3 linked regions of the Drosophila melanogaster genome follow. The protein of the gene in region 1 interacts with the protein of each later gene in a pairwise test. Each region holds a gene or a part of one and is shown in the gene's direction. Other genes may lie near its edges. The genes, in order: CG8507, CG32756 and CG13461.

Evidence for each region.
Region 2: the proteins of CG8507 (region 1) and CG32756 interact in a two-hybrid assay, tested with the Drosophila melanogaster proteins (one large-scale study listed by BioGRID).
Region 3: the proteins of CG8507 (region 1) and CG13461 interact in a two-hybrid assay, tested with the Drosophila melanogaster proteins (one large-scale study listed by BioGRID).

Annotation. Positions count from the first base shown.
Region 1 is NT_033777.3:9,789,481-9,793,240, forward strand, and holds CG8507 (uncharacterized protein), read left to right. Parts: upstream 1-2,002; 5' UTR 2,003-2,089; coding exon 2,090-2,311; intron 2,312-2,365; coding exon 2,366-2,581; intron 2,582-2,643; coding exon 2,644-2,854; intron 2,855-2,915; coding exon 2,916-3,277; intron 3,278-3,332; coding exon 3,333-3,461; 3' UTR 3,462-3,618; downstream 3,619-3,760. Other genes in the region: CG12945 (uncharacterized protein), read right to left, coding at 1-401, 474-604, 658-785, 840-980, 1,046-1,291, 1,359-1,610.
Region 2 is NC_004354.4:5,943,605-5,947,364, forward strand, and holds the start of CG32756 (uncharacterized protein), read left to right. Parts: upstream 1-2,077; 5' UTR 2,078-2,156; coding exon 2,157-2,315; intron 2,316-2,376; coding exon 2,377-2,562; intron 2,563-2,628; coding exon 2,629-2,767; intron 2,768-2,854; coding exon 2,855-3,089; intron 3,090-3,150; coding exon 3,151-3,760. Other genes in the region: CG12728 (uncharacterized protein), read left to right, coding at 1-7, 69-783.
Region 3 is NT_037436.4:15,051,423-15,054,642, reverse strand, and holds CG13461 (uncharacterized protein), read left to right. Parts: upstream 1-2,152; 5' UTR 2,153-2,167; coding exon 2,168-2,581; 3' UTR 2,582-2,712; downstream 2,713-3,220. Other genes in the region: CG18649 (uncharacterized protein), read left to right, coding at 540-818; CG43680 (uncharacterized protein), read left to right, coding at 1,348-1,497.

The DNA of each region.
Region 1 (3,760 bases):
TTCATCTTCAGCTACACAGCTTTTGCTCTTGCTTTTGCTGCTGGAATCGCTTTCATCTAAATTTTCTTTTTTCGATGGTGTGGTGGGAGCTTCCTGCTTTTCCTCTAGCTCTTGGACGCCCGAAACGTCTGGAATTCGCTGTAGCGACTCCTTTGGAACATTTCTCACGTTAATTACATTTAGCAGCATCTTTAAGTTGTCGCCCGATATGGAGTCGCCTTCGGGCGCCCGTGCATTAATGGACTGGTGAATCGTTGGTGTCCCTTGTGGCGCTGGCTTGTGTAAAAGTGACGCCCATGCTCGGGGGCTTAAAATGTATTTAAAGCACAGCTTTATGGTGTAACCCACTAAAAACACCAAAAGGACTGGTGCAAGGAGGTTATACGGGAAGGATAATCCGGCTATGGGTAAATATGGTAATTAAGTGGTAAGTGGTAATTATTGACTGTGCGAATTCTTGGTTAAATACTTACAGGACAGTTTAGTCATAGTTACCGACACCTTTTCTATCATGATTTCCAACTGCTTGATAAATATGTTATTCATGTACATAAAGAACACTTGATCTGGCATGCAAATGGAAATGCTGATTTTTGCGGATTTTCTGAATGGAAACGATCATCAATCGACTTATTTAATTATATGTTATGGTCTTACTTGATCATTTCTATCTTCTTAGTTTTTGGTGAGGCTTGGTATATGTAGCCTAACAGTCGACCAAACCAGGACGATTCAGGCTCATGGTGATGATTTACGACCTCTATCATCCTATCGATGTCTAATTCCTAATTATAAACATATAATGAGCACAATTTCACACACTTTCAGGCTAGACCTACTCTGTTGCATTCTAAATAAGTCTGAATATATCCGCACAGAAACACGCCTCCTAGTACAATTGAAATTAGTCCGACACGGAAACGTTTGTGCACAATGACGACAAGTGCAATTGCTAATGTTGCATATAGGATAAATTTCACCTAGGAATGAGAAAACCCATTAAATAGCAAATAGTCAAGTTTCCATAAAAAGGCGCAACAGGTACCTCGGTCGTTTGCGTCAGTTCAATTACATCCTTGAAAATATCCACCAATAAGGAGAAAAAGCCGTGTCGGACGTATGAGCATCCGGATCTTCCATTAAACAAAGGAGCCTCCTCGGCACTCTCCAATATCTTAGTCAGCAAAACGTCCAAATCCCGAGCATCCTGCACCCTCTCCAGTTCATCCAGTTGCGATGGGATCAGGGAGAAGAGCAGCGATCGCTTATGGACCGCCGACATAACATCGTACTAATTACACAAAAGTTACACACATATGACGTCATGTCGCCAACTTTGGTCTAAACAGCGATCATACCTGAAAACGCTTGCGCTGGAACAGCAGATTGACGAACTTCTTGAAGTATGTGAGTGCCACGGCATCCTCCATGGCCACTGGAGACACATCTGGACACGTAGGACACTGGCACAATTCACCGGGCTGATTGATATCGTTAACCAGGTCCGACCAGGCGGGATCCGGACTCAGCCAGGACTCATCGTTGCCGCTCTGACAGCATACCCTGTGCAATACCAACAGGAAACAACTGACCGCTGCCTCCGTTCTCATTGTCCTGGTTTCTCAATGTAATCACTCCTAGGTAGTAAGCACTCGATAATAATTATAATTCAGCGCAATTTCGTGGTAAGGCGGCTGATGCAAATTGGCAGTGTGACCAAGTCCAGTTAGCAACATCACAGCGTCACGTCAGTGCTGCAATATCTACTTATCACTTCAGGAAAATGTAGCTTTATATTTATTAGACAAACATGCTTTTATGATTTTTCTTCACTTCTACTGCAAATTGAATTATTTTTATTAAACATCTTTATCAAATAAATCAAACAAATTGTTGTAAATTGACCAAGATCAAAAATCGTAACTGCGAAAAACAAAGCATTAAAATAAAATAAAAGCTAGACTGTCAGCACCAAAGCTTTATGCGATCGCTAGATGGCCACACTGCGTGTTGTGAATAACTGTTTAGCCAGGTCAGCACTGCACCAATAATTGCAAGCTTTAAAACCGAAATAAAAACCACGAGGAAAATGGTTAGGTCAGCTCTCGTTGTTGCAGCCATCGCACTTTCCGTACTTATTGCACTGCAGGGCGTGGATGCCGACAAAAAGCAGAGCAAGAAGTACAGCAAGGAGGCCAACGACCCGCATTTTCAGCAAGTAAAGCAGGAGAAGTATGATCCGGATTTTAAGAGCATCCAGCGGCCATTTCGCATGGCCAAGTTGAATCTCGTGTGGGCCAAGGCGCAGAATGTAAGTGGACACCATAAGATATCTCATATTTAACCGTACTAACCTCGGTTACAGCGCTTAACAGAGCCCAAGCTCAAGTCACTGTACATGGAACTCAAGATCCACGATAAGGAGGAGATCGCTTGGAAGCAGCTCAACTCGCAGCACAAGGACAAAGACGGGCTGAAGGCCGACGAACTGCGCCGCAAGCTCATTGGCATCATGAGCAGCTACGATCTGCTAGAGCATTTTGACGACACTCAGGATACGGAGAAGCTTAAGCCCTACAAGGTACGTATCTAAATCATCTTTCCTAAGAGCAAGAGTTTCTCTACATCCAAGTTAACTTTAAGAAATTCCACGACGCCGAGGAGCGACACAGAAACAAGAGTCTTTTCAAGGACAAGAAACTCAACCGACTTTGGGAGAAGGCCGAGATTTCCGGATTTACTGCAGAGGAATTGAAATCCTTGAAACAGGAGTTTGACCATCACCAGGATAAAGTGGATGTGTACTACAGCTTGCTGGAAAACATTGGCACCGTAGACACCGACAAGCATGAAAGTGAGTTTGGCTAAAAACAGCACGAAAAGCATCAATTAATTTCATTGATTATTCTCGTTAGATGCTATTAACACGGAAGACTTGGACACCTACAATCTGATTTCGAATGATGTCAATGAGAACGACATCAAAACCCATGCGCAAAACGTGAAGAGTTTCGAGAACGACCTTAACACTCTGCGAGGACATCACACGGGCATCAAGGATCACTACGATAGGCTGGAACGCCTGGTGTCCTCCGGTCCACACAGTCAGGACTTCATTGAACCCAAGGTCCAGGGTCTATGGCGAGTGGCCCAGGCTAGCAATTTTACGGTTAAAGAACTGGAGTCCATTAAAACCGAATTGCATCACTTCGAAAGTCGCCTATTAAAGCTGCGTCACTTGCATGCCGAGCATGCTTTGCAAAAGGAGAAATACAAGGTATATGTTTCTTAATATCAATCAAGTTTGTAAGCCAACTAACAATTATTTATAGGGCGAAAAAGTGAAGGACAAAAGCAGCCGCTTTGAGGAAATGGAGGATCAGCTGAAGAAGCAAACTCGCAAAGTGGAGAAGCTCCAGGAGAACATTGAAAAAACCATCTTCAAGCACACCGAGCTTTAATAATTTGAAAGTGAAACACTGAAAGTGCCAAGCGAATAAATTAGATTTAATTGCAACTGTTTGTGTAACGCACAAAAATATTCATTCTTGCTGCTATTCAGCATAGATATAATTTTGATACCAAATATCATTTGAACATAAATAAAATCTCAAGTTTAATTTTGAACTATATACAATCTATTTTGACCTTTAAAAAATTCAATGTGGAAAAAATAAATTTGTAATATATTCAAAGTACAATATAGGGTTAAGAATAAACCGTTAAAAAAAACGATAAAATTAGTGTGACCATATGATAG
Region 2 (3,760 bases), on another chromosome or scaffold:
GCATTAGGTGGGATTGGTACAATGTGTTCACATTTACCGATTAATAAGATATGTTTTCGCAATTGCAGGAAGCGCAAGGCTCTTGAAATCAATACCAATCATATGGAGCGCAAGGTAATGCAGCGCCGCTCCAATCCGCTTGTCGAGTACAAAAGCTCGCAGAGTTCCCAAGAGACAAACGTAAATTTAATCTTAAAAGTAGAGCTAGCGCCAATGGACACCAAGAATGATCTCACTGATGATGACGAAGAGTCATCCACATCTTCGGGGCTTTCCCAAGGATGGTCGGCCAAACTAACCAAATTTAATCCAACCGTCGGAAGTGGTGTATATGAACTTGCATCTCAGGAACAGTATGCTTCTTCTGAAGATGAGGATGCTTCTTCTAAAAATGGGGATACTTCTTCTAAATATGAGGATGCTTCTTCTAAAGATGAGGATGCTTCTTCCAAAGATGAGAATACTTCTTCTAAAGATGAGGATGCTCCGTCTAAAGATGAGGATACTTCTTCTAAAGATGAGGATGCTTCTTCTGAATATGAAGAGGTCACTAGGGAGGCATCGAACGCTTTCAATTTCGTCATAAAGAAGGTTGAATCTTTAAAAGAGTTTTACGATGCCCCAAGGGAACTCATCCAAGAACCCAAAGTCGGAAAGTCCGATCAGAATTGGGATTTAATTCTTCGAACTGTGCTGGAAGATATCAAAGCCGTACTGATTTACTCAACTGAACGCATCGAAAAAGCGATCCAGAGCTATATCAATAAGTTAGCGCAAAAATAATTTGGAAACGATCTCATTCTAAATGGTGCTACAAGCAAAACTTCACACTTAGTACATACGTTTTTTTTTTTTGTTTTTTTTTTTTTTTTTTAGATAAAAACAAGTCCTTAGTGATAAAAGGATAAAATACATGATTCCATTTGTTGATTAGGTATTCGTACCTAAGTCCATCGAACAGCAATCAAATGAAACAAAGAACTGTATAGTGTTGTAGATATTAAAAAGACGTCTTATCAAACACCCTCAGTACACGTACACAAACAAGTTGACAAACACAAATCCTCAGTGATAAAAGGATAAAGACATGATTCCATTTGTTGATTAGGTATTCGTACCTAAGTCCATCGAACAGCAATCAAATGAAACAAAACAATGTATAGTGTTGTAGATTTTAAAACGTCTTACCAAAACACCCTCAGTACACAAACAAGTTGAGTTCCATTGCATAGAAGCAGCAACTAACTCCTATCTCTATGGAACATATCGAATAATATTAAAATTTGTCAAAATGATTGCCCGGAAATTTTCTGGTCAATTATCGACCGATTAGTCAGGGCTTTCCAGCGGTTATAACCTCCTGATCAATGCATTTTATGTTAAATATTTTTTGGCACGATTACTAATAAAATTGATAAAAAAAGAAACGTTTGCAGTTTGAATAAATAATCTTTAAAGTTTGCCTTATCCCATTTGCTTTAGAAGCTTTCAGCCTTTTCAGGCTGATCTAGGATTACAACAGAAGGATGAAAGACAGCTAGACGAGGCTAGTTTTGGATCCTGAGTAATGCTTTCCTGAACCCTGAATTCCCACAATAATGTGTTGTTCCCATCGGTGGGTCACAACTATAACTGATCTACACATTTAGGATCTTATAATATATAATATAATATAAATACATGTCTATAAATACAACCGCGTGGATTAGTTAATTGAAATACGCACAGGCATTCTATCCATGCATTTCCCTGCAGAAAAAGTATTTCAGCATTGATCGTTTTAAGGAAAGCCCTGCGGTTACCTATTATACGTCCAGCCTACGCTCAGACTCTGTTGATGTGGCGTGAACACATAAAGGTTTAGGTACTACTTGTTTCATATTATAATAATATAATAACATTATAATATATAATATAATGCTGTTATAAAGTATATTTGATTTATACTTCTAATGGTTAGTTCAAATAGGTATAGAGTTACATCCCATTTTTGTTGGGAATCTTTATACATCACCATCGTTACCGCCAAAGAACAATCGATAGATTGGTAAGAATTCGATACCTAGACGGTACTATCGATTCTTTTTCATCTCTACGGCGTGCGTCAGTGATGTTTCTTTCCTTTGATTTCTGATCCTTCTAAACGTAACTTCAAAATGCTATTGAAAGTAGTGAATATAAATGGCTTGCAGCACCTGTTCGCCTGCACTGAGGGGCAGCATGATGAAACCCTAACTATTCACGTTTTCCGTCCTCGCGAGAAGTGGACTTACTCCGAGACTTTGATGAAACGCGATTACCAGCAGCGTTTGAAAGTAAGTTTTCCGCATTTTCATGTGGTGAAATAGTGTGAGTGCAACACGTTTTTTCGACCAGACGCTCAACGCGCGTGTGAAGTTTCCCGAGGAATTGGTGCGCCAGGTCCTGCTCAACAAGGATCCATTGCATGTCGAACAGGATTACCAGCACCCATTGAACGTCCTGAAACTGAAGTATGCCATGGCGAATTTCAAAGTTTTCCTCAAGTGGGAATGGCACCTGAGACCCATGGATGCCGCACAGGTCAGTAACTGACTTTAGCAGAATCAGTTCCAAGAACTATAATAATTAGTGCCATTATTCCCAAAGTTGTATAGCCAAATGTTCTTGAACACAATGTCCACGGCTTTGGGACTACGGGCTCAGATACCCCTTCTGCTAGGGATTATCCATGCCAAGGACAAGGAGCTGAACCAGTATCGCACCGAGGGATGCCAGCTGCGCAGAGGTTAGTTAAGAACAAGTTTGCAAATCGAAAGTTCTTGTGCATTCCATTCGCTTAGTTAGTAATCGCAAAACCTTATGCCTTCTTTAGTGACCGTGGAAACCCAGCCCTTTGATCTCGAGGCTTTTATGAATGAGCACAAGCAATTGCTGGACTGTTCCGCTGCCTACCAGAAGGCGCAGAGTACTTTTTTTGCTGATAAGCCATCGCCTAATTGGACATCGCTTTCTTCGCCATGGGCACGGGATGTCGCGCCCTATTCTTCGTCAAACGGCTACTTTGCTTCTTCGAAGGCATCAAGCCCAAAAGAAGCTCCTCGCATTAGGTGGGATTGGTACAATGTGTTCACATTTACCGATTAATAAGATATGTTTTCGCAATTGCAGGAAGCGCAAGGCTCTTGAAATCAATACCAATCATATGGAGCGCAAGGTAATGCAGCGCCGCTCCAATCCGCTTGTCGAGTACAAAAGCTCGCAGAGTTCCCAAGAGACAAACGTAAATGTAATCTTAAAAGTAGAGCTAGCGCCAATGGACACCAAGAATGATCTCACTGATGATGACGAAGAGTCATCCACATCTTCGGGGCTTTCCCAAGGATGGTCTGGCCGACAACTAACCAAATTTAATCCAACCGTCGGAAATGGTGTATATGAACTTGCATCTCAGGAACAGTATGCTTCTTCTGAAGATGAGGATGCTTCTTCTAAAGATGCGTATACTTCTTCTAAATATGAGGATGCTTCTTCTAAAGATGAGGATGCTTCTTCTAAAGATGATGATGCCTCTAAATATGAGGATGCTTCTTTTAATGATGAGAATTCTTCTTCTGATGATGAGGAGGTCACTAGGGAGGCATCGAACGCTTTGGATTCTATTAATGATTTTTACGATTACCCCCCGGCATTCACTCAAGAACCCGAAGTCGGAATATCCGAGGGGAATTTGGATGTAATTCATCAAATTGAGCTGGAAGAGATCAAAGCCGCACTGATT
Region 3 (3,220 bases), on another chromosome or scaffold:
ATTGTTTTTGGCTTACCACAAATACGACACCGAACATGTGAGTAAATATTAAGAAGTTTCGAGTAAGCGGAGCAAAACAAGCTAATGTGCTATGAATCAGAAAATAAGAATATGGAGGGCCATTCCCAAAATTTGTAAACAATTGTAGGTGGAACAGTGGTTATTCTACAAAGAAATAAAAAGGAGTCATTAATTTGATATAGACATTTTCATAAGCAAGTTAACTATGGATTATAACATGCTGTGTTTGCTTTCCTTAGGTTATACAATATATTGTATATAAAAGTATGACGTTAGCCACGTTTCACTGTAATCTTTATACGTTCTCCAAGTTCCGTCAGTCAAATGTTTACGCACGACTTTGCCTCATTTTTTGACGCTCAAACCAAGGCAACAGCTGTCGCGGGGTAAACACAAAACGAACCAAATAAATTGTCACAATGCGCGCTTTTATTTTTCTGCCAATTTAGAGATTTTGCTATAAAAGCGTATTTTCAATGTGGAACTGAACTTAGTTGAAAACTAAATTTGACAATACAATGCGTGCCTATTTGCTGCTTGCCCTGTTTGGATGTGTGCTTTTGGCCACAGTTTCCGCAAATCCGGTGGACATTGACGACTTGGAGGACCTCGAGGAGGACAAACGAATTGCTGATGAGCAGGATAATGCTAACGATGATGAGAAAGACGATGAGGATTCAAATGAACCCGAGTCCGACGACGACTTAGATGAGCCTGAATCCCCGGAGGACGATTCCCAGAACAATGATGATTCCGAAAGCGACGAGAGCATCCAGTACAATCAAGATGAAGAGTAGCTCTAATGGGAATTAACCCTTTCTATTCTTTATTGTCTTTATCTACACGCTTTCACCGGTCGTTAGACGTTTAAACAACTGTTTACACAGAAATACACAGTTCATCTTCAACAACCAAATAAGTAAAGGTTTTTATGTTATTCTAGTAAATACACACATTTCTGGAAACACCCATCATAATTGGTGCTTTTTACTTAACTTCTTTTTATACAGCTCTTAAATGATTTTGTAAAGAATTACATACTAAACAAAATCTTAAAAATGCAATTTTTATTTAATTAATTGGCCTCAAAGCCACTCTTAATACTCTTATTTCAGCGCAGGGAAAAAGAAATAATTTTCTGCCTGTAATGTGTGGCTCAATAGATCAATAAATGTTTTATCTCTCAAATATTTACTTAACATTAGTAAGGTGCAGCCATTGTGCAGTTTGCAATAGAAATTTTAAAGCAAACACGGCATTCATATATAAGAAGTGCAGTACTTTGAAAAAACTTATTCAAAGAAGAACTAAGTCTACGAAATAGAGATGCACTTTCTGATGGTACTCGTGATAATTGCTCTTTTGGCCATGGCCTTTGTGAGTGCAAGCCCACTTCCCCATCCAAGTGGAGAAGTTATCGTTATTGTCAACCCAAAAGCCCCAGTTGACTGGTGCTCTACAACATCAGCGGCTTAAATTCGAAAATACAAAAATATTTAGAAATTCTCCCCCGATGCAATTTCTCAAACACAAAATATGAAATGAGCAACTGATAAATCACCAATAAAGAAAATAAAAATAAAACTTATTCAGGGTAAAACTTTTAAATACGTTTTTTGGTCTTTATAAGTTAAATGAAATCAATAAACGTTTTGAAGTTCGATTTGGAGATATCAGATTTTTTATTTTGCTTTATATTAGCACATATTACCACGACGGAAATGAAAATCCTTTAGGCGAAGTAAATAGTAATGAAGGTAAGAAAATTTGTATCTAATGTTTTAAAAAGGCCAAAAACCATTCACTATCTTTTTAATTCAATGATTGCATGCGAGTGTGTAATAAATATGACAAAATAAAAACAGAGGTCGCTATAGTCAAGTGCCACGACTATTAGATACCTGTTAATCAGAATAGAGGCAAGCACAACGAACCCACTTACTCAAAACAATTCTGGACAATTCCCAGAATAATATCAATTAAGATTGTGCGTCACCACGCAATAATGGGATAAGCATTTGTTCAAATATGAAATTCGTAAATGACTCGTTCAAATAACAAAAAAAGGCATTTAATATAAAAAGCGATTGATCGAGTAAAGTTTCAAATCAGTTTAAAACTTCGCTGAGCACAAGAACACAAAAAAATGCGATTCCTAATTGTCGTTGCTCTTGTGGCCTTTTTGGCTGTTGGTCTTGTGGCTGCACGGCCAGCTGAGGATGAGGAGTCCTCCATCCAGGATAACACCAATGAGGATTCGTCCAGTAATGATGGCGAGGGAAACTCCGATGCTGCCGAGGAAGAACCTGCTGTTGAAGAAAGTCAAGATTCTGGAAATGTGGATAACCAGGATGATGAAAATAGCGAGGATAATCAGGAGGAGTCAGATAATGAATCAAGCGGAGATGATGAGGAAGATAACAACGGGTCTGATGATAATACCGAATCGGATAATAATAACGATTCAGAAGGCGATCAGGAGCAGGATGCTCCACCCAACAACCAGATTCGACCATTCGGACCTCTTCTCATCCAAGCAAGGCCCCTTTTCCTCGATTAATAACACGTGTTTTTAAAATATCCATTAACAATAAACATTAGACAAAATGCTTTAAAATTATACAACAAATAAAACAGTAAATAAATTAAAGCTATATATGTCGATCGATATGAAAAAACGCCACAAAGTATATAATACTTTTTGCAGAATTTGTTTAGCTTGAGGGGCTTGTCTACACAGTTAAAAAAATTATATAGAATGAATACGCTTTCATACCATCAGTTTTTAAAAAAATGTATGCTTAAATGTCAGTTAAATAACAGTCTTTGGTATTTAAAATCTGGCCACAAGATTTTAAATAATTTGATTTTGCTAATATGCTGATATTATATATATAGTTAAAGTAAATTATTTCATTTAAAGTACCATAACACAAGATAAGCTGTATGTCATAACCCCAAGTATTTTCGTTAAAATCCCGTGTTACAGAATTGCTTTAGCAATTTTTACGGCTATTTTATTGTAAAACAATATATCTCTAAAGTTTTTGACTGCCATTCCCAGTGATATTATAGCAACAATGATTATATGGGGAATTTGAATAATTTCGTGCTACAGAATTTATATATTTTCAAGTTATTTTTAGTGCAAAGAAAGCTGCTTATGATATATGCCTCTCAGTTCCTAAATATATCTCTT